Diceros bicornis minor: one gene and its partners. The protein of the gene in region 4 interacts with the protein of the main gene of each other region in a pairwise test. Links are inferred from orthologs where the notes say so. Each region holds a gene or a part of one and is shown on either strand. Other genes may lie near its edges.

Region 1 (7,944 bases), on a different chromosome or scaffold from region 4:
AATCAGTTTGAGTATTTACTTTGTCAGACAAGCACAGTATACTATAATTATTTCACTAGTTATATGGTTAAGTCTTACTTTACACAGTGCAAAGCTTTTTAATGAAGTTATTAGAATTACAATGAAAAAGGTTTAATTGAACTTTTTTCTTTGCTCCTTCCTTTCTAGGATAAAGCATTTTCCTATGGATGAGGATATTACAATGTACTAAAATACAGTTCTCTCCTACCTACTTGTAGTTATTTTAAATGTCAAAAATTCAGCTAATATGCTTTGGAAAAGGGAGAATGTCAAGCATCTCAAAAACTTGATATAAACAAAAAGAGAAACTTTGTTTTATTAAGTCACCAAAGTGGATCCATAAAATTACTGTAATCAAACATCTCTATGAAAGTGTCATGAATTTTTTATTGTGGCAAAATATACATAACACAATATTTATCATTTTAACAATTTTTACGTTTACAGTTCAGTGGCGTTAAGTATGTTCTCATTGTTGTGTAACCATCACCACCATCCTTTTGTCATCTCAAACTGAAATTCTGTCCCCATGAAATGATAACTCCCCATATGTATCTTTTTAAAATAGAGAAACTTGGATAAACCATTTTTTTAAAAAAGCTCCAGTCACCCCAAATCGTTTTTTGAGAAGCCAGCATTCTTACCTTCTTAGAAGCCTCAGGATGTAGGATTTGCCTGACATGAAGCTGCCCATCAGTACAGAGACAGAAGGAGGTTCCTACCCCAATATTCAGCTCATTGCTCACTGATTGGTTAAACTGAAAAGAATAAGACACACATAGGGACACAACTGATGCAGGATTTACAAACTCGGCAAAGTGGCCCCACTTAGTGATAACCCAGAGAAAACCGCGCTAACTGCCGTGAAGGGTGCCCTGGTGCTGGGGGCAACGTTAGAGAGACAGACTCCGTTGCCACAAACTGTCTTGCTTCCTTTAGATAGGCAAGCTTTCCAGTCAACCTGCAATTTACGCACGGAATTTAGTAAATGCTTTCTTCCTTCCGTCCCCCTTCTATTTTTGCTATAAATCCATTCAAGACTTTTAAGCCAGGTCTCATTTCATCAGCAGGTTGCCTTCAGATTACATCATTCTCTGGTGCTTTCTTTTCTTTTCTTTTTTTTTTTTAATGTTTGGATGTTCCAGGCTTAAGAAAGATGCCAGTTTCTGATAAACTAACGTGGGTATACAGACTTCTGGAAAGTCTGGTAACACGTTTCCTAGAACACAACCCAGAAATGATAACTTTCCCCTATAATTCGCAACTAGTGTGCGAGGGCAGGGGCCGTGAAAGCGCCAGACACTCACCTGTGCACAGGTGTTTAGCGCCCCGCCCTATCCTCGATCCAGTACCCATCAGCACCCCGGTGCAGACGCTTTTTAGGTCACCTCAATTTCAGTAAAGGGATTCCACCAGTTTCACGGTGACCCAAGGAGCAGCCCTACATGCTCAGGCCTGCAAACCCTCCCCGGCGCCAGGACCAAGGCCACTGAGGAAGTAATAAAGGCACCGGAACCGAGCCTCTAGAAGCCTGAAACCAAGCAGGCACCTTCAGATTCCGACCAAACTGGAGCCGCCTCTAGCGCTCAACGCAGGGCCCGCCCGCTCTTCCACACCACAGCGCCCCCTGCCCCAGGGCTGAGTCACAGACCCAAACCCCGGCAGAGGACAGACGCGTCTGGGGTCTGGGCCGGGAGATGGGGACGCTAGGATTCAAACCCCGCTCATCACTCAATTGGTAAAACCCGGCTGATTCTCTGGCCCCAGGAATGACTCAGGAAGCAACCTGAAAACTAGCGAATTTTGGCCCAAGACCCTAGGGGCCTGGGAGGCGAAGAGGAGCAGCGACCTCCTCCCAAAAAGTCCACCCGGGCCTCCAGGCCGGGTTTCCACCCACGCCGCCGGGCGTCTGGCCACCTGCCCTGAGGACGCGCGTGGATCGCCCGACGAGGGCGTGGGGCCTGGTAGGGCTAGGCCAAGAGCTTCGGGGGCGCCTGGGCGGCTCGGATCGGGGTGGGTGGCGCGGCCCAAGGCTGTCACCTGTCGGAGGGCTTGGTCCAGCTGCGGCGCCGAGGATAGGCTTTCGGCGTCGATCTTCGTTTCTTCTTTACAATCCTCCGTCAGCTCCAATTGATCTGGTCTAACTAGTACTTCGTGCAACTGTCCCACCTCCGGAGGGAAAGAAGCAAGGCTCAGTTTCTCCCTTCCTCAATTTGGGAGCCTCTATCTTCACCCTCCTCCCTCGCTGCTCTCCTGGGACGGCCCGCGCCTCTCGAGGGGTCTGGCCGCAAAATCAAAGCTCACTTGTCACCGGCAGCTCCGCTGGCCGGGAGGTCGGCGCGGCCCTGCCCCCGGCCCCAACCCCGCGCAGCTCAGGTCGGAAAGGCCCGGGAAGTGGGCACCCGGTCCCCGCGGATCCCACCCCGCTCCGCCGGGCGTCCTTCGACGGGCAGAAAACCCGGCTCCGCGGCGCCAGGCCTCCCCACCTGAGCCAGATTTCGAGGGACTGAAATGGCTCCAAGGCGGTTGGCCAACAAATTTGGTTTTACTCTGGATTCTCTAGGCCTCGGGTCCAGCCTCACAAGTGGGCAAACAAGAGCACTTGTTTACCGATTCCCCAAACTTCTACAACAAACTTCTTGCCCCACTCCCATCATTTGGAGAGAAACGTGGCGAAATACCTTCTTGTTGGCCAGATCCACCACTTTCCATAACAGCAGGATCAGCTCCTTCTCATCTGAGCCCAGCTTGGCCCCGGTGGCCCCAGCAGTGATCCCGAAAAGCACCACCAAGTAATCCGGAGACGCCGTCATGACGATAGGTGGGGAGGGGGAGAAGGGGGGGTCGGGAGGCGATGAGGTAGGGTGGAAGTGAGAACGAGAAAACCTGTGCTAAAACCTCTTTTGAGAGAAAAAGAAAGAGCGCCCACCCCCCCTCCTCGCCGCCTGTGCAAAAGGCGGTAACCAACCACCCAAGCCCACACCTGGCCCGTGCTCCACACCCAGGGCAGGAAGGGGGGTGGGAAGGAGGGCGCAGGAGGCCTGCCCTTTTTGTATTCAATTGCCGGTGAGTCTATGCAAAAAGCCAGGAGCAAGGCTGCACCCCCAGGAGGCGCGCGCAATGGCTGAAAGCTTTTCTGTTTTGGGATGTGGCTCTACCTGCCCGCCCCTTCCCCCTCCCCCACGTGGTGCAGGTAAGAGACACCTGGCGGCGCCGGCCCATTGGCTCCTTCAAACCACGACGTGGCAGCGGTGGGGGAGGAGGCCGCCTGGGGAAAGGGGAGGAGGGGGCGGGAGACAATGGCAGGATGAATGGAGAGGGGAGAGCGAGAAAGGAGGAGGGGGAGACGCGAGGGGCGGGGAAGCGGCAGTTGCCACCCAGAGGGTAGCGGAGGCCAGACGGGAAAAGGGTGAGGGGAAAAGGGGCGGGGCGAGTCGCTTGAAGGGGGTACTCCTATGGAGGTAACCGAGAGGCGTGGGGGGCTTGGAGAAATGCCGGCTATGGGGAACGAAGCCGGAGGTTTTAAAGGGTCAAGCGAAAAGGCCTGGCGTGGGGAGGCGAAAGGAGGCCAGAGGTGAGGCCCGGGGTGCGGAGCTGCCCAGGGCGCGGCGCCCCGAAAGGGCGAGCCGCGGAGGGAGGGACGGGCCAACGGCAGCCGGGAGGTGACGGGGGCAATTGCCGAGCACCGGAAAAGCCGCTCCTGAGCCCAACACACCTTTAAGTGCAAACAGCAGGCGAAACCCTGCAGGCCCTCCCCCCCTCCGGGCGGGAGCCGGGCGCACGGTCCTCCAAACCCGGAGGCGCTGCCCACCTTCGGGAGTGAAACCCCGGCGCGCCGCAGAGCCAGACGCGGGGGCTGGACGCCGGGCCACCGAGTTACGTCCAAAGACGCAGTTACCGCGCGCAAAGCGGCAGGGGGACCCCACTCTCTCTCCTCTCGACCACTCCCTTAATTGCTACGTCCTGTTTGGTCCTGAGTGCTAGTTCGAGGTTAGCACCTCCTCCAGGGCAGGAGCCCGCTTCCTTTGATTTGCCCTGAGCCCTAAATAAAACGCATGTACTCCGCGTAGCTGTTTGTCTAAATCAAGCCAAAGCAAAGCTTTTCCCTCAGTTCCCCGCTCTGGTCCCACGCCCTCATACTTTTGCCTTTGTACTTGTGTGTCTATTTTTGGCCAAGTTGCCAAGCAGTGTCCCTACTCTAGCTCAGCTCGGACTGCACCGAGGCTGGGGCGCCCACCATCACCCCCCAGCCCCCAGCCGGACGGCAATGTGGTGGGCCCGTTCACAGAAAGAAAAGAGCCAGAGGTGAAGTTTCCTCGAGTTTTATATTTCCAAGTGCTCTATTCTTGGGAACAGAATTCCGTCTGAAGTATTACTAATTCGGCTCCAGGTGTCCAGCCCTTTCTATTTGTGATGTGAAATTAGGCAACCACACACCTATGTCTACAGTAACCCACTCCGGGTACAAATCCGAGAACCTTTCAGGACGCATGTCGGGACGCTGGAGATCGCGCTCTCCCGACGGGGAGGAAGCGCGGACTTAGTGGGGAGGAGCTGAGGCTGCGGCAGGGTGAGGGGAAGGGGTTTGAGGAGCGCGAGCCGCCGAGTTTCCTTGCAGGAGAGGGTGCGGGCGGAGGCGCCGCCGCCCGCGGCGCAGGTAGCAGCTCGCGTCCCCCGAGAGCGGGCGGAGGCCGGGCTCTGCCGGGGCCAGGCAGCGCTGCAAGGGCCCTCGAAGGTGCTCGGCCACCCTCGTCCGCAGGTCGAGTTTCAGCGGCGCGTGCTCTTCGCCCCGGGACTTCAGGGTGCGGGGTCGCTAAAGGGCCCCCGCAGTCCTGGTTGGCTGGCAGCGGCAGCCTCGGCCCGCCCCAGTGCCCCTGTGTCGGAGCCACCCTCTCGGGCCCGCAGGCGCCGCGGGGGCAGGGCCTGGGCGCGGAACGGGGCAGGGAGGGACCTGGAAAAACCACCCAGATTGCATTGCAGTGGGCGAGGCCGCCCGGAGGAGCCGGTTCTCCGGAGCCACCTCCCTGCGGGGCTTTTTCGGTGCGCGGTTCCCAGGTGCTCCGCCCCGCCTGGGCCGGGGGGCACTGCCTCGTGGGGGCGCGGGACCCGGTGCGTGGCCCCGCGGGGGGGCCCGGAGGCCCGACGCCGGGCTGGCGACTGTGCTGAGAACGGTTAGAACAGCTCAGGAAGTCCGGCCCCGCCCGTCCTTTCTGGCCTCCGGGGTGCGGATTAATCATTTGTATAGCGCGTTTGGATCAACTGAGAACTTGATCAGCGCGTTCGCCAGGGATTCCGCAGCGTCATCCATATTAGAATCGAATCTCAGGTTCCCCCTGTTCACAGACTTGTCTTTTCTTGTTTAGGGAAGTCGGATCCCTGGTTTCTGATCTTTTTAATTTAAATTTAAATTTGTCTAACTAGGTTACACAGACAGAATTTTTTTTTTCTCTAATGTATTCCCAGAGCTTGGAACAGAGCCGGACATATACTAGGCATTCAACAAATATTTGTAGAATGATTTTAATGAGTAACACCCAACCATTTTTACAGTTCTTTGTCTCCTGAGCTGGGCATAGTTCATCACCGCAAAGGTGAGATTCTGAAAATGGGAGTCTACAGGTAATTTAAGTCTCGATGTTTAAAAAGAGTAGGTGCTAATTCTTTGACAGAGAAACCTACTTTTGCTAAAGAAATTAAACTCTTGTAAAGTGCAGGAATGCCGAGAAAAAAAATTATGTAATACAAGCAGATCAATTCTGTATACAAAAATGTTTTATTGTCCATCCCACCATCTATAAATTATTCTAATATAGTAAGAATAATCAGTATGAGGTGGGTGGGAAGACTCTTGAGAAGAGAGGCTTATTCTACCTGTGGTCTTCAGTCAAGACCATGTCTAAAACACCTGAGACAAGTAAGAATCTTTTTTTTAAAGCAGCAGAGACCCAAGTTGAGGACCAGGCTGCAACATAACTGGCCTATATTCTTAAACTATTCAGGTCATGAAAGACCAAGACTGAGGAACTCTTCCAGAATAAAGGAATTTATGAGACATGACAACTAACTGCAACATGGATGCTGGACCAAAAAAATTTTTTGTCGCTTTAAAGTACATTATTGGGACAATAGGAGAAATTTGAATAAGGTCTGCAAATTAAATAATAGTATTGTATCAGTTCTAATTTCTCAATTTTTGTAATATTACTGTGGTTCAGCAGGAAAATGTCCTTTGTTTTAAGAAGTATGCAGTATTTAGGGATAAACTGGAATCATGTTTATAACTTACTCTCATACAATTCCAACAAAATATATACCTATATATAGACAGAGAAAATAATAAAGCAAATGTGGGAAAATGTCAATACTGGGGAATCCGAGTGAAGGAATTCTTTTTTGTGTGTGTGAGGAAGATTGGCCCTGAGCTAACATCTGCCAATCCTCCTCTTTTTGCTGAGGAAGACTGGCCCTGGGCTAACATCCGTGCTCATCTTCCTCCACTTTATATGGGACACTGCCACAGCATGGCTTGCCAAGCAATGCGTTGGTGCGCGCGGGGATCCGAACCTGCGAACCCCGAGCCGCTGCAGCGGAGCTCGCGCACTTAATCGCTTGCCCCACCCAGCCAGCCCCGTGTTGGAATTCTTTATACTATTATTTGCAACTCTTAAAAAATTTTTTTAAAAGCATCAGAGGACTTTTTGCTGCCACCACCATTTAGTGTTTAACAAGGCTGTGTCTCATGACTTTCTATGCTAATCTAATCTTCCATTCTGTAGAATGAATCCATTTTCTTTGTCTTTTCCTTAGTGAAAGAAGGAGAAAGAAGAGATCAGCATTTTCTGTATAACAATCCTTTCATATCCTTTAAGATTGTTCTTAAATAACTTTTCTAGACTAAACTACCGCAAGCTCTTTAAAGCTTTCATCAGGAATCTTACTTTCCTGCTCTTAATTATCGTCATCACCCTCCTTCGACCCTTTTCCTCTCATCACTTTTAGAGAGCAGCTCTTGAACTGGACAGAAGACAGGTGTGTCCTCTGTGGCCTGACCATTGACACAATGGTACCTATATGTCTTATTCTTATAATTTGTCATGCAGTTCCCTTCTTAAGACTACAGTAGCAGCACTGCACTTACTGGCTCCACTATTGTTTGAGATCTCTAGATCCTTCTTGGAGTTCTCACTTGCACATACCCAGTTGTTCTCTTGTACCTGTAAGAAAAGAGGCTTCAAAAGTGAATCAAAGTATGAAAATGTTATCAGATTAGATAGTGGTGATCGTCACACAAACGTGAATATACTAAAAACCACTAAATTGTACACCTTAAAGGGGTGAATATTATGGTATGTGAATTATATTTCAGTTTTTTAAAAAACAAATCAAAGTAAAAGCTTGTGTTCTGAGGCTACCACAAACCATTTATATTTCTTACTTATTTGTATTAGATCCAGTTGTAAAAGAGACCACATTTTATACTCCCGGGACAAGTCCAACCTCTCTGAAGTGGAGAGGTAGGGGGAAGTGATGGTCAAGATAACTAAATACATTATAATTTTCTATGAATTACTCTGTGCATTACACACTTAACCAAATTACTGGTCTGGACATTTATTATAGCGATTATTATAGATCGTCTGTATGGAAAAAGTATGGGTTTAATAATCAGCCCTGCCATTTGCTACCTCATGGCCTTGGGCATGTTCCTTAGCCTCACAAGACTCAGTTTCTCACCTGTAAAAATGCAGATGATAATGCACACTTCATAGGTTTTAAGGGGAGAGGAAATGTATAAAGAAATGTCTTCCTTAAAGAAAACAAACCTGAGAACCAGGAGGGGTACTACTCAAGAGGAATCTCCAAGTGGGGAGGGGTCTCTCCAGACAACAACCACAAAGGCTAGTAACCCTCCGACCTTAGCTT
Region 2 (7,220 bases), on a different chromosome or scaffold from region 4:
CTAACTGTCAGTAAATAGTTGTTAAAATTTTAAATTTAGGTCCATTCTGATCATTTTAATTTTTTTTAATTTATGTTTTATTTTTGTGAGGAAGATCAGCCCTAAGCTAACATCCATGCCAATCCTCCTCTTTTTACTGATCATTTTAAAAATAAGGATGGGGGAGGATCGGTGGGGCATTTTTATATGCTTTTCTCCGGTGCTTTGTAAAACATTTGAAAGCATGTGAGATTTCTGGTGGAGAGAACAAAGGCTAGTATTATGTATGTAAATGCTTGAAAGATTTTTAAAAACATGAGGAAAAATAACTTGGGTGTCTCAGAATTAGAATCATAGGTAATTTGCATTTCTGCTCATTTTCTACATATGTTAATTTTATAATTTAAAAAATGTGTAAAAGAAGTTCCACTTTAGTGGGACACGGGAGCCAGTCTTTTACGGACAACTCTTTTCTGAAGTTATGTGGCCAAGTAGTTTTAAAACAATTTAGTGGGGCTGGCCTGGTGGCACAAGTGGTTAAGTGCTCGCGTTCTGCTGCAGCGGCCTGAGGTTTGCCAGTTCAGACCCGGGCATGCACCGACGCACTGCTTGGCAAGCTATGCGGTGGCGGCGTCCCATATAAAGTGGAGGAAGATGGGCACGGATGTTAGCCCAGGGCCAGTCTTCCTCAGCAAAAAAAGAGGAGGATTGGCAGATGTTAGCACAGGGCTGATCTCCTCACAAAAAAAAAAAAAAAAAATTTAGTGAGTTTCAAAGCCCTAATTAACACTGTCATACTTGCTTATTGTAAAATTAGTCTTTAAGTACTTTTATATAAATTATGTACATTTATATAAATTATGACAGATCCACAATGATAAATCAATAAGCATGCTTTCTAGATAATTTGCTGATGCTTTCTTCCTGTCACGTGCATTTACCACCGTCAGCTTTGACTAATTTAGAAAAAGATAAAAGGCATTTCCATTTGAGTTATAATGAAAATAATTAGTCCTGTCAAGAAACATTGGAAGATAACAGTATAGAATAACAACAGCTAGTGCAGCAGCACTTATGTGGTGTCAGGCTCTATTTTAAGTACTTCCCATATATAAAATCAAAGATGTACAAGTGTCAGAAGGGGTCTACGCTCTGCAAATAATTTGCTGTGTGGTCTTCCGGAAATCCCTTAATAACTCCTTTATAGTCCTTAACCTGAGTACATGATGACACAATGTGAAACTGTTCAAATCCTATTTTCTTGGAACTAGGGATTACCCTTGGAGCAAGAAAAACTGAGTAGGAAAAAGCTCATTTAGAGAGGCACAGGGCAATTCAATTTCTGAGATGAGGCTGCTCTCAAAATTTCTAGGTTTCTAATACTTTCATTTGCTTCTCTACTGTTCTTGAACTACTAATTTCCCCCAAATGACTAAACCTTTGAGTCTCCTTATGCCAAACTTGGAACAAACATTTTGAACGTAAACCAAGATCTTATATTTAGTAAAGAACTAGAATAAGTCATTTCTCTCTCACTCTGTCAAAGGGGTTTCCCATTCTGATATTTGAAATTTCATTACTAGTTGCAAAAAGGGGCATTTAGAATTACAAATTATCATTCCTGCCAAGGAGAGTAACATTCAAAAGCTACAATGAAACAAGGATTTGCAAGCATCTAGCTTTTGCTTGGCAGAGGTGAAAGAAATTTTTAGACGCCCTCCCTTAGTAAATTATTACCTTTATTCCTAGGTAATAATTGTTTTATTCTTTCACAAGGATAAATTGAGACTCTGAGAGGTAAGAAGTGAGTTGAGACCAAGGTTCTACAAGAGAAGAGCCTGGTGGAAAAGTATGTCCTAACTAGGATCGTTCTCCTAACAAGGATAGAGGACATTAGCTCCAGGTGAGGCCTCTATCATGCTAGCTACAGTACCTTGAGCAGATTTCGTGTGTGGCTTGTGGTAATTTAAAAATATGCCCACAAATTCTTTGACACTCCTCTCATATAAAGGTGGAATCTAAGTCCCCTCCCCTTGAATATAGGCCAGCCTTAGTAACTCCTATCTAAGGAACAGAATGTGGCAGAATAGACACTGAGTGACTTGGAAGCATAGTTAGAAAAAAAACAATTCAGCAACTGTCTGGCCCTCTCATTCTCTCTAGCCACCAGGTTGTAAGGAAGCTCAGGCCACAGAGAGGCCATGTGTGTTCCAGCCAACAGCTCCAGTGGTCCCAGTTGACAGCCACCATTAACCACCAAACAGGTGAGTAAAGTGAGTGATTAGATGATCCTAGCCCGCAGCCTTCCAGCGCCCCAGCTGATGCTAAATGGAGCAGAGACCAGTGTCTCAACTAGAACAGGCCCAAATTGCACATTCAGAGGCAAAATAAATGTTGAGTTAAGCCACTGAGTTTGGGAGTGGTTTGTTACACAGCAATAGATAGCCAAAACACTGTTTTTAATGTTATCTGTAACTCCTCCCACAAGTCTGAAAAGGAGGTACTGCTATCCCTTTTGGCAGATGAGTAAACAGGTCCAGAAAGGTGAAATGACTGGCTCAGGTTTCATAGTAAGCAGCAGAGCCAGGATTTAAGAGCTTCAAAGAATGGGCCTTCTCCACTATTCCATAATGACAAGAAGATTAAACCATTTCCCTAGTATCAGGAAGAACCTGGATTCTAATAGCAGCTTGGTTTTAAAAATAATAAAAATGACCATTGTTTGACCACCTACAATGTGTCTCTGTATAGGCTTAAAAAAAACAAAAAAACAGCTTTATGGAGGTTGTATAAAACTTTTTGCCTACCTTATCCTATTTTAACCTTGTCAACAGCCCTGAGTGGGTTATCTTCTAAATTTTACAGATGAGAAAACCAAGGCTAAGGATAAATGGCCTAATTCTCCACATCCTGTAGGGTGTGGTAGAGCGGCAATGCAAACTCAGCCCCACTTGCAAACACTTCCCTCTGTCTCTTGCCTGCAGAGAAAAGATAGTTTGTAAGAGACACATCGTATTCAATATCACAAAGAGAAAAACGTTTTCATTATTGTTTTCTCTAGTGCCAACACTCATAGGAAGGGAAGTTAGTGATCACTTACTGCCCAATCCCCTCATTTCACAAGTGAGGAAAGTGAAGCTCAAAGAAAGTAGGCCCCTTCAAAGAAATGTAGTCTTCGCTATTCTTTAGCGAGGAAAATTACGTTTCCCTCCACGCCCATGTGTCATTTCACACCAACCCTGGGCGGTCCTACGGGGCAGAAACTGGGGTACGTGATATTCCTGGAGACCGGGCTCACCTGTGATCCCCGCCAAACCCTTCCTGACCGCTCCTCCCCGGAGCAGCAGTTACTTTCATCGCTTAGAGTAGGGAAATTATATTTGCATTTCTGTGCCCCCGTCAGCCAGTCTCGGCACTATGTACTAAGCGCTTGCCATTCGCCAGCTCATTTTCACCCAAACACACTAGAACTGCCCCTTCTCGTGCAGGCTCAAGATTCAGATTATGGGCGGGAAAGAACTTTTCAATGAATTTGTCAGTCGCCCTCAGCTCAATCAAAAACAATCGCGGCAAATTTGCTTATTAATGCAGCAACGCGTAATCTCGTCTATTCCTCGTAAATTTATAGAGAGGCCATTTGAGAAAAAAGAAGACCGAACCTCAGAGAAGTCAGAGCTCTGGCCAAGATTACACACCACTACTAGGTTCGAGCCCACACCCGGAAGGCTCAAAAGCCGCTAGGTTCGCCTAACTCAGATTCCCACTGCCAGGGCCCCAAGGTTCTCCGCCGACGCGAACCGTGGAAACGCAGCGGTCGACGCGCTCCCCGGTCGCAGGAGGCCGCGGACCCCGGCCCACTTGGCGGCTACCGCCACCTTACCAGAAGCGCTGCCGAGCGGGGGTTGCGGGGTGCAAGCACCGCCCGCCCCGTTGCGCCCCGCCCCGAAGCGCGCGTGGGAGCGCGGCGTGCTCCCCGGGGCTGCCCACGGCGACCGCCTGCGCGCACCGGGGAGGGCTTCCGCTGGCCCCGCCCTGGCCTCCTCCCCGCCGCCGCCACCTCTTCCCCGCCTCCGCCTCCCCGCCGCTGGGCGCACGCAGGGGCTGGCGCCCGGGGAGCGCGCCGCGATGTTTCTCTTTTCCGTCCGGCACCGCGGCGGCCACCTCACATCCGGGCGCGCGGCGGCGCAGGCGGCGCTGGGGCCGGGGTGCGTGGAGGGGAGTCATTAAGGGGGAGGGGGCCGGGAAGGAGGGGCAGAGGGCTGGGCTGCGGTTACGGCGGCTGATGAGAGACAGCTCGAGCGGGTCGGGGGGGCGAGAACGGAGGCCGCGCGGAGCAGCCCTCGGACCGGCGCGGGTGGCGGGGAGGGGAGCGGCGGCAGAGGCACCGAGTAAGGGCCTGGCGGCGGGGGCCGGGACACCGCGCTCCAGGGCCCGCAGGGAGAGGAGGGACAGGGGCGCGCTGCTCCCGGGGTCGCGTGCGTGAGCGCGAGCGCCTGGGCGCGCGCGGGGCTGGGCAGGGGCGCGAGGCCGGCAGGCAGCGGGCGGGCTGGCGGGGCCCTAGCCGCCGGGCTGGGGCGGACGGCGGCGGGCCTGCGCCGGCTCCAGCTGGGAGCGCCCGGGCCGGGGGATTCGGCCTCCGCGCTCCCTCCGACCTGCCTCCTCTCCGTGAGTACCGTCCCCGCCCTTCCTCCGAAGAAGGCCGCTGGGCCGGGGCCTGTGCGAGAGGCCGGGGGTTGGGGTCGCGGCCCGGGGAAGCTGAGTTTCGGAACTGAAGCCAGCACTCGCCCCTTCTTTGCTACGGGCGCTCCTGACATGGCCACAGGTGCGGCTGCCTGGGCGAGGGGCGCTCGGGCTCGGTCCCCAGTCCCTGGCCCCCGGATAACAAGGGGCAGCTGGCGCCGTCCATTGGCAAGTGACAGGCACTTTACCACAGCTCGACTTCCCGGATCCCCAGCGGGTCTTCTACCTGCCCCCACCCCGGGAAACTTCCCCACTACTGCCTGAACGGCCCCTATGCGTGGCAGCGACTAATCTTGGTTTCTTTTCGTATTAAAGCTGTTTAAAGGCTGTACCCTGATTTGGGCACCTTCCACTTCTGCCTTCCTTACCCTGTTGATGCTTAGAGCATTTTACTGTAAGAGATAACTAAGTACCAGTGGTTCTATTTCCAAGTGGGTTCTGGTTTATAGCATTATTGTTGAGCGAGGGTTTGTTTTTTAAAGGTAGTCATTTTAAGAGGTAAGGGTTTCACTTTCTTAAGCAGTCAAGACTTCTGAAAATTTATTGTTTTCCGTGACAGTTTTGTGCCGATTTATCTTCCAGGTGCAAAGAATTGTAGACCAAGGAGCCATGGATAGAAGAAGTGTGGTTGAAACAGAAAATGGAGATGCTTTCCTTGACCTGAAGAAACAACCGGCCTCCAAATCCCCCCATCGATATACAAAAGTAGGCTTTGTTACTAATGAAATAGTGTTTCTTTACAGATGGGGAGGTTAGTAACAACATTGTGTAGGTATTTCATTAGTTTCATCTCAAGTGGTAGTCTTACTTTTGGCTCACTGTATGGACTAAATATTAACTAGGATTTAGTAAAGCATTGCTTTGAACCTTTTTCTGAAAGTGAATACCCAGAGTTTAAACTAGAATTTGCTTCTAAGTAGCCTTCAGGTGAAGAGAATATTGGCTCAGATTCCATATGAATTTGGGGATCAATATATGTTAGCACACAGATTCTGTAACAGCTATGTAACTGGTGTCTTATTGACTCACGTGCTGTGCGGTAAGGATTCCAGCTTTGAGATGCCTTACAGAATCAATGTCTCCTGTATTGATGTTTCCTTGAAAGGTAAACTCCCCAAAGGAATGCTCTTTGGTGTGCTTAGCTAGGGTAACCAGATTTTTTAATTGTTTTTTATTTCCCGTTGCAAATTGGATGTGGACTCACAAAAGTAAAACTTCAATCATATTTTCCCTAGCTGAAAACTTGTGGTGATTTTAAACTGCTCATCTAGATACCTGCTCTTTCCAGCGGGGGTGCAAATCACCTCAAGGTCATATATTTATTGAAGCTATTGCTTCGGTATGTTGTTGGCTACTGAATGTTTCTGAAGAGGTTGACAGGACTTGGTGAGCTGTGAATTCATTTCTGGTTCCCTGAAATGTACTGGGCTGGAGTAGATAAAATAGGAATGTTGATGGGAAGGGTTATGTTCTAGTTAGGCCATATCTGTATTTCCTGAATATGGACTCAGTCAGGGACTCTAATGTGGTTATTGTCCCTGGCTTCCCGGGGTACTGAATGGTTAATATTTTCAAGTCAGGCCTTGTTTATGTACTTGTGCCACTGCTCTTACCTACGTGGTAAAGTATCAAATGCTATCAAAGTATTATTCATCCAATGCCAAAGTATTATCCAAATGGATATCAAAGTAATATCCATTTTTAGCATTTAAAAAAAGCTCTCGGGCCGGCCCCGTGGCTTAGCGGTTAAGTGCACGCGCTCCGCTGCTGGCGGCCCGGGTTCGGATCCCGGGCGTGCACCGACGCACCGCTTCTCCGGCCATGCTGAGGCCGCGTCCCACATACGGCAACTAGAGGGATGTGCAGCTATGACATACAACTATCTGCTGGGGCTTTGGGGGAAAAATAAATAAATAAAATCTTTAAAAAAAAAAAAAAAGCTCTCTACAGGAAAAGTATTTTCAGGTGTAAAAGGGTTCTTGGTTAATTGCTTTCTTAACACAATCTGTTTTGGCATAATAGAATGTGAGTTGATAGAAAGTATTGTACTTCTTCATTCAGATTTGTTCTTCCCAAGTGTAGTTTCTCTCACCTGAGAGTGCTGGAGTAGTGTTTCACAACTTAAATTCATTATTTAAAGTGTTGACAGGTGAATTCTGAATGGAGAAAAGCTTATTAAATGAAGGGAAACTGATTTGAACTGCTTCTATAAGCTTATGTGATTTCAAATCTTCCAGTACTTTTTGAATAAAAGTTCTGACTGGTACTCTACTTTGTGGAGTCCAGGCAGAGAGACTTTTCAATCACTTTCACATGCTGATTAGAGAATGGTATGTATGTTTCACCTTTATGCATATCTATCTTTATGCGTAAGTCATTTTTAGGAAAATATTATTGGTCTGTCTTAGGGTAGTACTTATCTATGTCTACAGTAAAGATTAAGAAGCTCAATATTGCCCATTTTTGGCAGTCCAGCCCCAGAATTCTGCCATACTTAGATA
Region 3 (7,646 bases), on a different chromosome or scaffold from region 4:
AGTAGGCCTAACAGCAGTTTTCTGGGCTCTTCTCTCGCTTCTTCTGGGTGTGACCTTGGGGGAATCATTTCGTTTTTGTTTGCTTCCTATCTTCTAAAACCATTTTTGAGAAGATAGGAAGCAGACATAAGCAAAATGGGAAAGGTAGCACCACTGCTAAGTGAACTTGGGGCAGTCCCCCACCCTCACATTGCATTTTGGGGTGTGTGGCGTTTGTTGCAAGCTCTCTGCAAGGCTGTGAGCTTGCTAGCTCTCCACTGCCAGGAAGGCAGGTCATTTGTGGCTGGGGAAGAAACTCCTATCATCCCAGTTAGGTCACTGTGCATTCTGGCCCTCGACGGTTGTTTCAGGATAAAACACCTTGGTCCTCAATGTTGTGTCTAATCTCAATGTCCAGGACTTGGAAAGAAAAAACGAGCAGCTCCAGTTCAGTTTTAAGTCTAAAAGGAAAACGAGAAGACAGAGAGAAGGCAGACTCATAGACTAAAAGGGACTAGAAGAGCAGCCACATGGGTGGGTCTGAACCAAGCCTCTGCCACTTCTGTAAATTACTTAACCTTCTTGTGCCTTGTTTTCTGGAAAATGAGGATGTAATATGTAAAAATGTTTGGAGAAACTTTAAAAGAAATAATGTACGTAAAATACTGAGCACATTGCCTGGCACATTGTAACAAACTGAAATGGTAAGTATTATTAAGGCCAAAATTGAATTTCTTCTTATTGTGCTAAGCCCAGATTGATTGTCACCGTAACTTTTATTTTTTATTTATTTTTTTTGTGCGAGGAAGATCGGCCCTGAGCTAACAACTGCCAATCCTCCTCTTTTTGCTGAGGAAGACTGGCCCTGGGCTAACATCCACACCCATCCTCCTCCACTTTATATGGGACACCGCCACAGCATGGCTTGATAAGCCATGCGTGGGTGCGAGCCTGCAATCGGGGAACGGCGAACCCCAGACTGCCACAGTGGAGCGTGCGCACTTCACAGCTTGCGCCACCGGGCGGGCCCCTGTAACTTTTAAATCAAGATCAACTAATAAGTGTTTTTTCCTCAAAAATGTACGTAAAGCTTTCTTTTAAGAATTTCAGATAGAGACTCAAAGCATCATATTGCCATAGATATTTTTTTTCCTTTTAAAAGCGGAAATGTAGGGGCCGGCACAGTAGCGTAGCGGTTAAGTGCGAGCGCTCTGTTGATGGCAGCCTGGGTTCAGATCCCTGGCGCGCACCAACACTGCACTGCTTGTCAGGCCATGGTGTGGCGGCGTCCCGTACAAAGTGGAGGAAGATGGGCACAGATTTTAGCCCAGGGCCAGTCTTCTTCAGCAAAAAGAGGAGGATTGGCATGGATGTTAGCTCAGGGCTGATCTTCCTCACACACACACAAAAGCAGAAAAGTAAATTAATTACAAAATAAGTTCAAAAGCTAAAGCCTAAAAAAAAAATCAGGAACTCTGCACCTAAATTTAATTTAAAAGTAACTGTCTTCGCTGTGAATGTGTTTGGAAAACATAGACTTTCTCATTTGATAATTAATTTGGTTATCCAGAAAAAAAATAAATGCTTGCAATCGCAAAATTTGCAATTTCTTGTAAGGATGAACTTTTTTTCCCAGAATGTAAATATTATCTCAGTTTGAAGATAGGGAGAAGAGGGACAAAGAACAACAGATGTATCCAGTGGCCACTATGAATCAGGCACATATGAATCCAGTCAAAGCACCACCAAGATGCTGCCAAAAGTAAGATATCCCAGATGTCCTAGTGCAGGAGGTGGTAGGGTCTGGATTACGGAGATTTGGAAGGCTGCAGTGGGGAATGCTTTGTTCAAAGGTTAAGGAAGTATCAGCCACAAAGCTCTGGCAGCTTGGGAGAAAGGGTCTTGCCCCACTGCTGCTGGGATTCATTTTTTCCCCGCTCAGGGTCTGATGCATAGCAGGCCCTCCACCTCTGGCCTCATGCTCTACTTCTGTCTCTCTGCCACGCCCTCCATTTTTGGGAGAGGCCATGAGAGCAGCTGGGCAGTGAAGAGCAGCCTCAGCCTGGGAGAGGGTCCCCCCCTAGAGAACTGGGGGGCAGTGGCTGTTGTCAGTGTAGTGCAAAGTGTGGCTGGGCCCTCTTGTCAGGATCACATGGGCAACTTGCTAAAATGCGGATTCCTTTAGCCCGACAGAACAAAATCCTGGGCATGCATGAAGTGCATGGGCTCACCAGCTCTGAGACTCTAATGCTTTTTTTTTTTTCTTTTATTTTGAAGGAGGGTTAAAATAAAGTACAAAATAACAGCACTGGGGCTAAACCCTTGATTTTTTTAGTGCAATATACCTAATACATGATCTACCCCTCCGGCTTTGTTTTAAGAAGTGGCAAAACTCATATTGACCTTTGAAAGAAACATTTGTAACAGGCCCTCTCCTTTTCTTTCAAATAGTTTTGCTGTTTGTACTTGTCTTGCCTTCCAGTGGGAAGGGACTGGCAAGCTACAGATAACGCGGCTCCTGACAATGATGGCTACACAGCAGTTACAGTCAAACCGGTTGGGGTCAAGGCCTGACCCCACCACTTATTAGCTGTGAAACTTGGGTAAATCTCTTTATCTCTTGATGCCCTTTTCCACATCCCTATGGCACAGCATACCTGCTGCTTGAATTGCATATTAAATGAGGTTTTATGTATAAAGAGCTAAGCAATGTATCGCCCAGACGCGCTCAACAAGTTCCTGGAACGCCCACAAACCTTATCTAAACGTCCTACCGATCTCCTTTCTTACCATGGTGGTCTGTACATCCTTTCTCAAGCATTCTCTAATTCTCTTATACTCTTCGTTGATAATGGGTTCTCCTCCTTCCTCGACTATTGAAGGAAAGTCCACTTTTCAACGTCCAATCCAAATGACACTTCTCTTCTGGTCTTGTCTCCCAGTTCCTCCAATCCTAGTAAGCCCAGCACTCCTCTGTGTCAGACAGAACACACTTCTCTCCTAACACAGGTATAGTTGAACCATAATTATGTACTTGCCGGTCATGCCCACTAGACTGTGTAAAACGTAGTCATTCTTAAATCCTCGTCACTTACCTTGGAGCCCGGCACATAACAGGCGGTCAAACCATATATATATATATATATATATATATATATACACACACATACATACACACACACATGTATGCGATTTTCCTGAATGTGCAGACTAGATGGATTCATGGGAGGATGGCTAGACGGGGGGAGGACATGAGGGTGCTTTTGGGGAGGCGATGGGGCTATGAGAATTGCGTGGTTGTCCTAGCGTCCCTTCCCCGACCCCCCACCGTGCTAGGCGTGACGCTGAAGGATAATGGCTTCTAAGGTCCAGCCGGTTTCTCCGCTTTGGGACGCGGCTCCGCAGGGCACCGGCAGGGGGCGGCGTTGTCGCGCAGCTGGATGCTCCGCGGGTGACCGTCCCCCGCAGAGCGCTGGTGACTAGGCCGGGGCTCCCCAGCGCAGAGGGGGCGGCTGGGGTCGCGCGGGGCCATGAGAGGGAGTCCCCGGCGCACTCCCCCTCGCCCCCACCTCCGCCGCCCGCAGCCCCGACGGGAAGGAAAGTTCCTGAGGTGCTCGGGCAGAGGCAGCGAGCGGCCGGAAAGGACGCCCGAAGAAAGGGGGGCGCTTTCTAGCAAAGACGGGGGAGCGAGCGCCAGTGCGCTCCTTGCGCTCTGCCCAAGCGAGTGAAGCTGGCGGAGAAACTTCCATCCTTAAAACTCGTACTTTCATGTTTGGTGGAAAAATTTAAATAATTTCACGCTGACATGTGAACACTTGAGAAAGGCAAACCTTAGCGCAGAGTGACGGACCCGCTCGCCGCCTTGGGGCTCCGTGAGCGAACGCGCCGGGGCGTCCAAGCCGCCGGCGGCTCTAGGGCGACATCGCGGCCGCGCTCTCCGGCCCGCTCCGCCCTCGGCATCGGCCAGCCGCCCGCGGGCGTCCCGACTGGCCGCGGCGTCCGCTCGGGGACGCGCGCCGGCCCGCGCCGCGCTCCCGGCCGCCCGGAGCCGCTCGTGCGCAGGAGCCGGACGCCCGCCCGCGCCCCGCCCCCGCGGCTCCTCCGGCTCCCCGCGCTCCCCGAGGCTTCGAGAATCGAAACCCGGTTATCACGAGCCCTCCCCCTCAGGCGCGGAGACTGGTTTGCGTGAGGGAGTGAACTCAGATCACCCCGAGACCGGGCTTATGAATGAAGTAAGAGGCCCCCCGGACACACCGGGTAAAAGGGGGTCGTGAAGAACCGCCGAAGCCCCATCCTGAAGCTGTTAGGACGCGCTGGCTCCGGCGAGAATGTTATGTTTGGGAAGTTTCTGCAGTCGAGTGGTTTTAGTCGTGATCCGGTTCTCAGGGCCACTTATGCCTCTTCAGGCGTTCTAAGTTGGGGAAATAGAAAAGAGGCGGGGGCGGCGGGGGCCTGTACGCACTCGCGGCCCCCCCGCCGCGCTCTCCCGGGACCGCTCCCCCCGCAGCGCAGTCGGCCGGCCGGCGGCGGGGCGGGCGGGGGCGGCGCCCTATGCAGATGAGGAGGGTGTGGCGAGCGCGCGGCGGCGGGGCCCCGGAAGCGCAGAGAGGCCCGGTATAAAAAAAGTACTGAAGACCTTTCCCCGCACAACTGCTAAGGCTCCGGAGACGGGAGCGTGTGCGGCGGCGGCCGCGGCAGCAGGAGCCGCCACCTCCGGGACCACGGCAGCTGAGGCGGCAGCGGCGCGGTCGGGGGCGAGGGGCGGGAGCGGCCATCGCAGGCGGCGGGGGTCTGGGCAGGACTAAGTCGCTCGCCGCTGCCGGGAGCGCACTCGCAGCTCCTGGAAGTGTTGCCGCCTCGCGGGTCCTCGCTCGCTGCGCTCCTAGAAGGGGCGGCCGCCTCCAGGTGACACAGACGGGACTCTCGCTTGCGCTTTCCAGATGCATCAGAGATACTTTTGGTGCGGGGCTGCTCTGCGGGGCGCGGCGCGCGCGGCTGGGGACCGCGGGAGCCCGGGGAGGGAGAGTCTCGGAGGAAGCCCCAGGCAGGGGGCGAACCCGGGAGGGAGCGCGCTGTTTCCTCTGTGGGCCCCTGTCCGCCGCCGCGCGTCCTCACCGCGCTCCCTCCCCCTTTTTTCCTTTAGGACTGACCAGGGCCAAGTGGTGTTCGGCGGGCACTTCATGGCAGAGGGCGAAGGGTACTTTGCCATGGCCGAGGACGAGCTGGCCGGCAGCCCCTACATCCCCCTGGGCGGCGACTTCAGCGGCGGCGACTGCGGCGGCGGCTTCGGCGGGCCCTGCTTGGACTATTGCGAAAGCCCCACGGCGCACTGCAACGTGCTGAACTGGGAGCAAGTGCAGCGGCTGGACGGCATCCTGAGCGAGACCATCCCCATCCACGGGCGCGGCAACTTCCCCACGCTCGAGCTGCAGCCCAGCCTCATCGTGAAGGTGGTGCGGCGGCGCCTGGCGGAGAAGCGCATCGGCGTCCGCGACGTGCGCCTCAACGGCTCGGCCGCCAGCCACGTCCTGCACCAGGACAGCGGCCTGGGCTACAAGGACCTGGACCTCATCTTCTGCGCCGACCTGCGCGGGGAAGAGGAGTTTCAGACTGTGAAGGACGTGGTGCTGGACTGCCTGTTGGACTTCTTACCCGAGGGGGTGAACAAGGAGAAGATCACGCCGCTCACGCTCAAGGTAAAGCGCCCGAGGCGGGGAGACGGGCTTGGGTCGGCACCCGGGCCGGGCCGGGGTGCGGGGTGCGGAGGGCGGAGGGGCTGCCGTTTGACGCCACAGGTCGGCGGCCAGGACGGGTTTGGGCGCGCTAATTTGTTTTGCTTGGGTCTTTTTAAGGAGTAGACTACGGTGCGTCGACGGTGTTGAGTGTTTTAGTTTACTTGGTGCTTCAGCGCCACAGCTCTTCTCCAGCTTCCTCTTCTGCCGTCCCTTCGCTTCCTTCTCCTTATTTTTTAACCCTTGGCTTTTCTTGCTTTTGTCTTGCCCAGAGTAGATTCCGATACGTCGAAGAATGAAATGATGTAAATCATTTTTTTTGTTGAGTCTTTTTATGTTCTAGTGTTTGGGAAAGTAGCAGCCTTAAGCTGAACCTAGTCAATGGGTTAGTTATTGTATTGGAAAATGTGAGTAGATTTCCTAGCTGCATTCAGCTGACTCCGTGTGTTTAGGATAAGCACCAACCCGGTGCTTCTCCGGGTTGGTTCGTGTGTTAAGGATACAGTGGAGTCCTCCTCTTCCCTACTTTCGTTCAGTGCGCGTTTTATATAATTAGTTAAAATGGTCTGAGGAGTCAGCCTCCCAGAATGTCCTAATTTAGTTCATATTGGATTGTAACTGCAGAGTACCCCTGGTGGGACATACAAGATACTGACCACTCGGTTGCCTTAGGGGGAGGGTAGTTGGGTGACTAGCGACAAGTGTGAGAGGCAGACCAACTTTTCAGTGTATGCCCTTCTGTCTTTTGAATATTGTGTGGATATTGTGTGAATATTGTACCTATAAGACCGTTTTCAAAAAATAACATTTCAAAAGTCAGACATGACAGCCTGTTAGTACTGTGCTATGTCTGCCAAAAGCCTCGAACTATTATTTCTAGTCTCTTTCCCAGACGGTAAAACTACTCGTTAAATGTATTTTTTTTTTCTGTTTTCAGAAGACTGTTTAAGCCTGTAGGTAGTGTTTTGCTGAAACTTGACAAAATAAAAGAGAAGGAGCAAAATAATTCTCAGCTGTGAAGAGGATGTATTTATTTATTATTTTTTTCTAGGTTTGCTCATCTTCTTGTTTTATCTTTTAAATTGTAGGAAGCTTATGTGCAGAAAATGGTTAAAGTATGCAATGACTCTGACCGATGGAGTCTTATATCCCTGTCAAACAACAGTGGCAAAAATGTGGAACTGAAATTTGTGGATTCCCTCCGGAGGCAGTTTGAATTTAGTGTAGATTCTTTTCAAATCAAATTAGACTCTCTTCTCCTCTTTTACGAATGTTCAGAGAATCCAATGACTGAAACATTTCACCCCACAATAATTGGTGAAAGTGTCTACGGCGATTTCCACGAAGCTTTTGATCACCTTTGTAACAAGATCATTGCCACCAGGAACCCAGAAGAAATCAGAGGGGGAGGCCTGCTTAAGTACTGCAACCTCTTAGTGAGGGGCTTTAGGCCCGCCTCTGATGAGATCAAGACCCTTCAGAGGTATATGTGTTCCAGGTTTTTCATCGACTTCTCAGACATTGGAGAGCAGCAGAGAAAACTGGAGTCCTATTTGCAGAACCACTTCGTGGGATTGGAAGACCGCAAGTATGACTATCTCATGACCCTTCACGGAGTAGTGAATGAGAGTACCGTGTGCCTGATGGGACATGAAAGAAGACAGACTTTAAACCTTATCACAATGCTGGCTATCCGGGTTCTAGCTGACCAAAATGTCATCCCTAATGTGGCTAATGTCACTTGCTATTACCAGCCGGCCCCCTATGTAGCAGATGCCAACTTTAGCAATTACTACATTGCGCAGGTCCAGCCAGTATTCACGTGCCAGCAACAGACATACTCCACTTGGCTACCCTGCAATTAAGAATCATTTAAAAATGTCCTGTGGGGAAGCCATTTCAGACAAGATAGGGGGAAAAAAAAAAAGAAAAGAA
Region 4 (7,824 bases):
TGGTAAGCTCTGAAAGGTTTCTAACAAGTACCAAATACTTGTTGATCTGTTCACAATAAACACCAGCAGGATTGTTGGGCTCCTTTCACTGTCCAGGGAGATGCATTTACATACTGCACCCAGTAAGAACAGCCTGTGGGTCTCCTTTATAAAAGTTGAGTAGCTAGAAGCCTCATTCAGTGTCTCCAGTCCAGATGACTGAAAGAAGACCAATTGAAATAGTGAAGTCTCTCGTCTGGCTTGGGCAGCACAAATACTGTGCATAAAACACTTGGAGTAGTCCAGGCACAAGACAAACCCACCTGAATGGACGAGGAACACTGTCTGTTGCCATGGCAGCCTGATCTAATTACATGAGTGATCAGGGCTGGAGTAAGTGCAACGAAAACCTACACCACTGACAGTATCTTCATGATGAGAAAGGCAGGCAGGAGAGCCCTTCAACCTCTGCTTTACAGAGAAGGTGGCATTCAAGACCATTTGTGTGTGGAGCTGCTAAAATATTGACTGATGCATGCACAGTTAGAGGGCAATCAGAGGAGATTAAACGCCACAGCATTAGCCGCTATGGTGCAATCCCTTTCTACGAGTTCATGTGCAGGATTTTCCCATCCTTCTCTCTGGTTCTTCCTCCGGCATAACGGCATAAGCTTCATTCCAAAAAAAGCTCAAGTATCCAACTACCTTCACCCACCAAATACACCAGAGGGTGGGCTTAACAGGAGCTTCTAGGAACTGCAGGGCTCCTCAGAAACCCAAACAGAAATGGCTTAGCTAACATTGTTGAAAAAGTAACTAGCTATGACTAAAAATAACCACCAAATAACTACCCACTGTGTGTGCTCTATGTAAAGATGATGCTTAAATATTAAGAATACCCTGCATTATAAAACACAAATGTCATTGAGATGTGACTACTAGATTCCCAAAGGAGAACTTATTTGCATACACACATTGCCGTGCATGCACGACAGGATGTGCAGGGAGCATGCCACTCTAAGGCATTAGTTTTTATTCTGTGGGTGTAATAGGGTCTTCTAATTTTGCTAATTGTATCCTGTGGATCTCACACGGAAGCTAAGAATCTCTTCGGGGACAGAACCAGTTTGGAGGAGTCCCTACTGCACAGCATACGGTAAACAAAATAAAAATAGCTTGCCGTTCTCGTTAGCCACATCGCGCATTATATAACCAGCTTCCGACTGGCTTTTTTTCCCCCCTTACTACTCTTCAGCAATTTCCCAACCTTCCCAACTATTTATATTACCCTCTTATCTGTCGGATTATATACTAAGAAAGCAAAACAAAACAGAGCAGCCACGGGATTGAACCGAACCCCACAGTTCTTAGAAACTGATTTTTTTTGTTGTTTTCTGGCAGGATCTCCAACATCACCCTACTTCCACCCCCCACTAAGGTTCTTGCTCAATCTCCCTAGAAAACCTGAATTGTTTCATCGCTGCCAGTCAGCCCACTACGTGGTCTGACATAAAATGAAAGCACAAGCTACAGAGTTTAGGAAGGCGGCCTGAGGGCGGGAGGCTGAGGAGGGGTCGGGGCGCTGCAGAGTCAGCCAAGTGGCCACAGAGGGGGCTCCCTCCCCATGGCGACTGCCCTCGCTGCCCCCCTCCCCCGCGCACACACAAACACATACGCACACGCACTCGCACTCACGCCGGGCTCTGCCACCGCCTCACCTCTCGCTCCGCCCGTCCGGCCCCCTTCCCTGCCCCCTGCGGGACCGGCCTGCGCGCAGCTCTGGAACCACGTAGGAAGAGGCAGCGGCGGCGGCGGCCGCGGGAGTGGCAGAGTCTCCAGCACGGCCCAGAGTGAACGAGCAGCGGGGCTCCAGGGCGCATCCCAATCCCCGCAGCGCCTCCTCCGCCGCCGCCGCCTCCTCTTTCCCCTCCTCCTGGCTTCATTCACCCTCTCAGCAGCGGCGCAGCCGTTCACTCCCGGCGCAGGCAGGGCAGCGCCGGCCGCGGCTCTTCTGCTCCTGCTGCGGGCGCTGGCGGGGGCGCCGGTCCGGGCCGGGGCGCTCGCGGGCTCCCGGCGGCGACGGCCGCTGCACATGATCAGGAAGCGGCCGTACCAACAGGGCGGCGGTGGCGGCAGCCAGGGCCGCCACCGCCACTCCAGCCGCGCTCCCGGCACCCGCACGCCGGCTCCCCTCGCTCCCACCCCTCCGCGCCCCCAGCGCTCCCACCGCCCGGCCGTGCGCAAAGTCCCGGCCTCCGCGGGGAGACCCCCACCCTGGGGCTCGCAGGCCAGGCGGCCACCCGCGGGGAAGCCTAGCCCTCCTCCAGACCCACTGGCTCTCGCCGCCCTCTTTGGAGAGAGGGAGGAGGGGGCCGCGGGAGGAGGGGGCAGCGCGACCCCCGGCAGCCGCCGTCTCCCCTTACGCCACCTCAAGGGAGGAGGACATGGCTCGCCGCACTCTCCGCCGGACCGGCAGCCGCGGAGCGGGGCACCGCCGCCGCTTTCCCCGCCCGCGCCCCCAAACCGGGCGCACCCCCTCGCCCGGCGGGCGCCCACCCGGCCCCGGCAGACCCCCTGCCGGACGTCCCTGCGCCCAGAGCGGGGGTGTCGGCCCGGGAGGCTGGAGCAGGGGAAGGCTGTATGTACACACGCACACATACACACACATAACACAACACGACGCGTCGATTTCCTTCGCTCCTCTTCCAGCTGTTTTTCGTGCCGCCGATTGGGGTTTGGGGTTTGGGGTTTGTTTGCCGGTTGTTGCTTTTACCCCTCTCGGGAGAGCGGGGATGGGGGGGATTTTAATCTAAATAAGGGGAGAAGGGGATGGGGGGAGGGAGGAGGGAAAGAATCAGAGGAGAAAAAAAAATAGCCACTTACTGTAAAGTGTAAATGGATCTGGGGTTGCGTGGGGAAGGGGGGGCAGAGGGAGAGAAACAGTGTCTTGCGGCTGCTGTAGCTCTGGCTGCTGCTCCACGGGGCTTGTTTTGGATCCCCCTGCAGTGAAACAGGTCCTGTACGGCTCCGCCACTGTAGTAGAAATGATGTCTGCGGTATACTCTGCTCTCTCCTCCTCCTCCTCCTCCCCCCGCTCCCCTCCCCTCCCTCCTCCCTCCCCCCTCCGCCCGCCCTCCCTCGCTCCCTCCCTCCCTGGCGCTCTCTCGCGCTCGCTCGCTCGCTCCAGTATGTAAATGTGTAATAGAAGCCAAATATGGAGCAGTTGGCTGCCGCCGCCGCAGCTCAAGGATCCGACTTGGGGGCGGGGGGGCACCCTCTGGCGGGCGGCGGAGAGAGCCGCTGTGAGCACCGCGAGCGCGCGGCGCAGCGGCGGCCCGCGCCCTTAACCCTTCGGTGCGCGCTGCCCGGGCTCGGCGGCCCCGGGGGAGGCGGGCGCGTTTCCCAAAGACTGGATTGCGATCGGGGTGAGGAGGGCGGGAGGGGAGACACGGGCTGAAGGGGAGAGTTCTTCCAGGTTTGGGAAAGGGGCGGGGAGCTGAAGCGATGAGGTAATTTTAGCGGTGACCGGTCGGTCCTCGCGCGCCTCCCCGGGTCCCTGCACCTAGTTGGAGAAAACAGAGCGACATCAGGGTGCAACTCGGGCACCCTGGAGGACTCTCCGAGGGGTGTCGGGCTTCAACTCCGAGCCCATGAAATACCCCAGGGGAAGGGGAGGTGGCCAGTTCTGATCCCGACGTGCCCTTCGTCCCCGGCGCGCCGAGAAGCATCTAAGAGGGCTGACTTCGATCGTCATGCAAGTTAACCCTGAAACCGGTTTAGCTTGGGCTTTCCGGAACCCAGACCACCGGGCCGCGGGGATTGCCTTTGCGTGCAACTCAAGAAAGTTTTAAGGGTCCCCCCGATTGCACGTGCACCCTTACCTTTACTGCCTGCGAAAACCGGTGACCTCCCTGCTCTCCTTTTTCTCTCTGCAGGTCCGGAAATCTGCTTGGGGTATTGAACTACCCAGCTCTAGCCTTGGTAGACGACCCGCGCACTCCTCTTGCAGCTAATTCGGGATCATTAATTTAATCGGAAATGAGGTAACCAGTGTAGGAGATAAAGAAAGCAAACCGAGCATCGAATGGCACTTCTTGTGAATCCGCGCTGAAGAACTTCCTCTGGACTCAATTTTTAAGTGCGGTTCTCAACTCCCCACCATCCCGCCCCCTCGGCATCTACCACTGCCAGGTGTTAGCTCGATGGGAAAGAATTTTCTTTGGAGGGGTGCACCTTGCCAACAGGTGTGGCACCTGGAGGAAGAGAAAGCACATCCACGCTATAGCGAGGTCGGTGGGGCGTTCTCCTTAATGCAGATAATTCTGGAAGACCAGTAGGTGTCGGGACAGCGTTTGACTTTCTTCAGGTGCTTAGAACCAAGTGTCTGGAAACATGATCCTTCCACGTAAGTTTCTCTCGGGAAGCCACCACTACTGACTGTAAGCTGTATTTAAGAAAACTTTTGGCTGAGTTTACTTATGATCTAACGGTTAGTCACCAACTGAAGCAGGATACAGAATCACCAAGAGAAATATGTCAGCTTTTAAACAACTGTATTGTAGAGTCAACGTGCTACAGAAATAAAAATAAGCATACTAACTAGGAAGGTGTAGGGCCCCGGAAATCATTTTTTTCTCACATTTTGAAATACCATGCACATATACATGGCTACTTAAATAGAATTACTCTTGTTCACTCTTACTCATGTCTACAACTTTTTTTTTATCATTTAACAATCAATGATTGCTACAGTTTAAACCTCGAGGTTGGACTAAGGTGATATTGTTGGTCTCCTTACAGCCTCTAGTGGACAGTTTAAAATCAGTTTTCTGAAAAGGCTCTGCCTGGTGGTGTTTTCGTTGACAAGCATTATCAAGGTGAAGGTTAACATCTCAGAACATAACCGGGTAATATCTCTTCCCCCCACTTGGCAGAGCCGGCTTCTGAAAGGAGCAGAAGCTTGTTGGCTCTGCACGTAAAAGCCGTATGCGTTGTGCGGCAGGTATTATATTACTGGCCTGCGAATAAACAGAGAGCTGCTGCTATTCATTTCAGTTTCAGACAGATTTCATAAAAACTAAATTCATCTAAAATATTTTTATAACAGAAAATATTGGTTGCCATGTTTTTGGCTTAACTGAGATGTTTTTATTCCAACTCCTGATCTGCAGACTGTCCAATCCACCTCCACTTTATTTTTAGACATCTTACGTGTAGAGAATTTGGGGTGAAAAAGAGCTAATCTTTTAATTATTACATTGACATAAGCAGTTAGTTTAAGTTATTTTAACAGCCTTAAATGAAAACACATAATTCAGATTAGAGTTAGTCAATTAATTTAAATGTTCCCTCAAGGAAGCGAAATATGTATATTACCGAAACAGTAAGAACAATTAATAAAAAATGTGTCATTTACTTGCTTAGCCATTAAGATTAAAGCCATAAACTGCCATTAAAATCTGTAACTGTTTCTTCCTGCAAGGTCCAACATAAACATAATACTCATGATGGAGTTTCTTTACCTTCAGTACTGAAATGTTTTCTTTTCAGATGGCAAAATATTAAACGTGCAATCACAAACAACTGGCACTGATTCTTTAAAAGCAAGACTTTCTCATGTGAATAAAAACTCAATGAAAGAAGAGATGGCTTTTCAAGAAGCCAGTAGACAAAAATGTGGTACTATAGTCCTATTCATAAACTTGATACTATATTCGTACGAGCATAGGCCAAACTTTGAAATTAGAGCAAATTGAGAAATAAGGCCTGCTGAGCCTTACTCCTAATATGTGTTCTGGATTGCTTAAACACCATGGAAAATCATTTTCAACCCTTATGTCTATTTCATTGTTTTGGTAGTATCTACTTTTGAAGGTTTAAAATGGGCTATCAAGTATATATTCTATCATATAATTATGTATTACATCTTGCTTCTGAATGCGTAATCTTCAGAGCAACAGCAGCAGCATCTGGGAACTTTTTAGACATTCAGAATGAGAGTTCCACCCCATTCTACTGAATCAGGATCTGTCTTGTGATTCCTAAGCACATTATAGTAGGAAGAACCTTGTCTATACTGCAGGGCCCTGTCTAGATGAATCTGGCCACAGCTGCAGAACTTAATTCTTCTATTTATTCCTTTTTTACTCCCTCACCCTGTTATTAATTTGCACTTGTTAATGGAAAATTATTATATTTTATGCTTTGTTCAAATAGTACTGCATTTCCAAAGAGCCCTGATTTATGCACAAATCTGCATCATCATTGCTGAGAGAACACTCTGGGAGCAATGTACTGGGGTCTTGAATGTGAAGGTTTTCTTCACAGCAGCAGAGGGAGCACAAGAGTGCTTAATAAAACCAGTGCATGGGCCCTCCAAATGGTAAGGGATTTTAAATTGTACTATAAGTTTTCATTGGAAGTAACCTCTTACATCATTCAAAACAAAGCAAAACAAAAACAAGCAAACTCAAACAGCTTACCAAGTTATAACAACTAGATAATTGGACAGATTGGAAATTAAATACAATATAGCTATACTTATTTAGAGTTTAGGCTTGAATTCTTAGAAAGTAAACCTCAAAAGTCATACTTGGAAAAGATGCCTTAGTTTTTCTCCCGTCAGAAATAAAGATAACAGGATCCAGAATAAAAGGCAACTCGAAGAGTAACTCCTGTTTATCTAAAAACATTGGGGTCAGTTAACCCAACACTACGTCAGATCAATTCATTTCATTTGGAGTCAAATATGTTGGTGAAAAAATGTGAACTTTTCACCATGTTTACTTTCACAGTAATTGTAGGGGTTTATCCTTATGTTTGCAGTGGTGAGGGTTTACGTTTCAGTTATATCTATGTGGCATTTCATACTTGCACAGTCTTCCGCACTGCATCTTCACACACTTCTGTGAGGTGGCTGAGACATAGGAAAGCCGAGCCTCAAAAAAGTTTTGGAACCAGGTTGTGCCTTGAGAGCACTGGGTCATTTAATTGTTACAATAATCCATTCAGGTGTTCAGAGAGGAGGGGAATGGTAGAAGTTCAAATCCAGCAGCGTGTTCTTTGCAGTTTTAACAGTTTTTCAGTTACTAGATAGTGAATGTTTAATAGTGAATATTTAAATAAGAGACTGTCTTAATTCTCAAGCTGCTTCTCATGTATTTATTGTTTATTTACCAGCAGCCATTTATTTTGCATCTACAATAACTAGGATCTGAGAATATAAAGATGAGTAAGACATCTCTGTCTGCAAGGAATTCACAGCAAAACAAATCTTAATCTTTTGAAAAAATGTTCATTTTGACCATGATGAAACTTAAAGATTCATAGTTGATTGATCCAGCACCTCTCAGAGTCATTACATCAATCAGACTTCCAAATATGAGAATCAAATACTAGAATCATTGAAAATCTGGGAGGTGGGAGGGCAATTGCATAACATCTGGAAGGTGGGAGGGCAAAAATAATTTGAAATATTAATATTTCAAATTTGTAAAACAAGCAAAATGCAGAGATGTATTTTATCTGAATGCCTTCCCTAACAAAAAAATCTTATGAGTAAATTCAAATGGTAAACATTTATTTATTTATATCTTTAAAAAAATTATTAACAAGAATTTCCTCCTACGCTAAAGAAAGATTTGCCAAGTTTCTGCCTGGAGCAATTTGTTATGGCTGTGTCATAAATCCTGGAAAGTTTGAATTTTTAATGGAAACACTGACAGACCTTTGACCATGCTATTATAAGGAGGGTGTTATCCTACATATGTCATTTAAAAATCTGAGCAAATCATAGTGTGCTTGCAAAACAAATATACTTTCCTTAGATTGCACTCCCAAATAAAG

What was found.
Region 1: the proteins of ATXN1 (region 4) and ESRP1 interact in binary tests that used the Homo sapiens proteins (3 or more experiments, as listed by UniProt). The link is inferred for Diceros bicornis minor from reciprocal best matches to the Homo sapiens genes ATXN1 and ESRP1.
Region 2: the proteins of ATXN1 (region 4) and EIF4ENIF1 interact in binary tests that used the Homo sapiens proteins (3 or more experiments, as listed by UniProt). The link is inferred for Diceros bicornis minor from reciprocal best matches to the Homo sapiens genes ATXN1 and EIF4ENIF1.
Region 3: the proteins of ATXN1 (region 4) and TENT5A interact in binary tests that used the Homo sapiens proteins (3 or more experiments, as listed by UniProt). The link is inferred for Diceros bicornis minor from reciprocal best matches to the Homo sapiens genes ATXN1 and TENT5A.

What each region holds. Positions count from the first base shown.
Region 1 is NC_080760.1:13,857,989-13,865,932, reverse strand, and holds the start of ESRP1 (epithelial splicing regulatory protein 1), read right to left. Parts: upstream 3,072-7,944; 5' UTR 2,835-3,071; coding exon 2,703-2,834; intron 2,191-2,702; coding exon 2,062-2,190; intron 780-2,061; coding exon 666-779; intron 1-665. UniProt on the Homo sapiens protein: mRNA splicing factor that regulates the formation of epithelial cell-specific isoforms. Specifically regulates the expression of FGFR2-IIIb, an epithelial cell-specific isoform of FGFR2.
Region 2 is NC_080774.1:24,846,075-24,853,294, reverse strand, and holds the start of EIF4ENIF1 (eukaryotic translation initiation factor 4E transporter), read left to right. Parts: upstream 1-4,167; 5' UTR 4,168-4,184; intron 4,185-4,281; exon of another isoform or gene 4,282-4,367; intron 4,368-4,551; exon of another isoform or gene 4,552-4,644; intron 4,645-4,820; exon of another isoform or gene 4,821-5,301; 5' UTR 5,302-5,328; coding exon 5,329-5,424; intron 5,425-7,220. UniProt on the Homo sapiens protein: EIF4E-binding protein that regulates translation and stability of mRNAs in processing bodies (P-bodies). Plays a key role in P-bodies to coordinate the storage of translationally inactive mRNAs in the cytoplasm and prevent their degradation.
Region 3 is NC_080762.1:49,746,446-49,754,091, forward strand, and holds the start of TENT5A (terminal nucleotidyltransferase 5A), read left to right. Parts: upstream 1-4,620; 5' UTR 4,621-4,919; coding exon 4,920-4,939; intron 4,940-5,122; coding exon 5,123-5,675; intron 5,676-6,799; coding exon 6,800-7,576; 3' UTR 7,577-7,646.
Region 4 is NC_080753.1:50,433,692-50,441,515, reverse strand, and holds the start of ATXN1 (ataxin-1), read right to left. Parts: upstream 3,085-7,824; 5' UTR 2,863-3,084; intron 2,024-2,862; exon of another isoform or gene 1,698-2,023; intron 1-1,697. UniProt on the Homo sapiens protein: Chromatin-binding factor that repress Notch signaling in the absence of Notch intracellular domain by acting as a CBF1 corepressor. Binds to the HEY promoter and might assist, along with NCOR2, RBPJ-mediated repression. Binds RNA in vitro.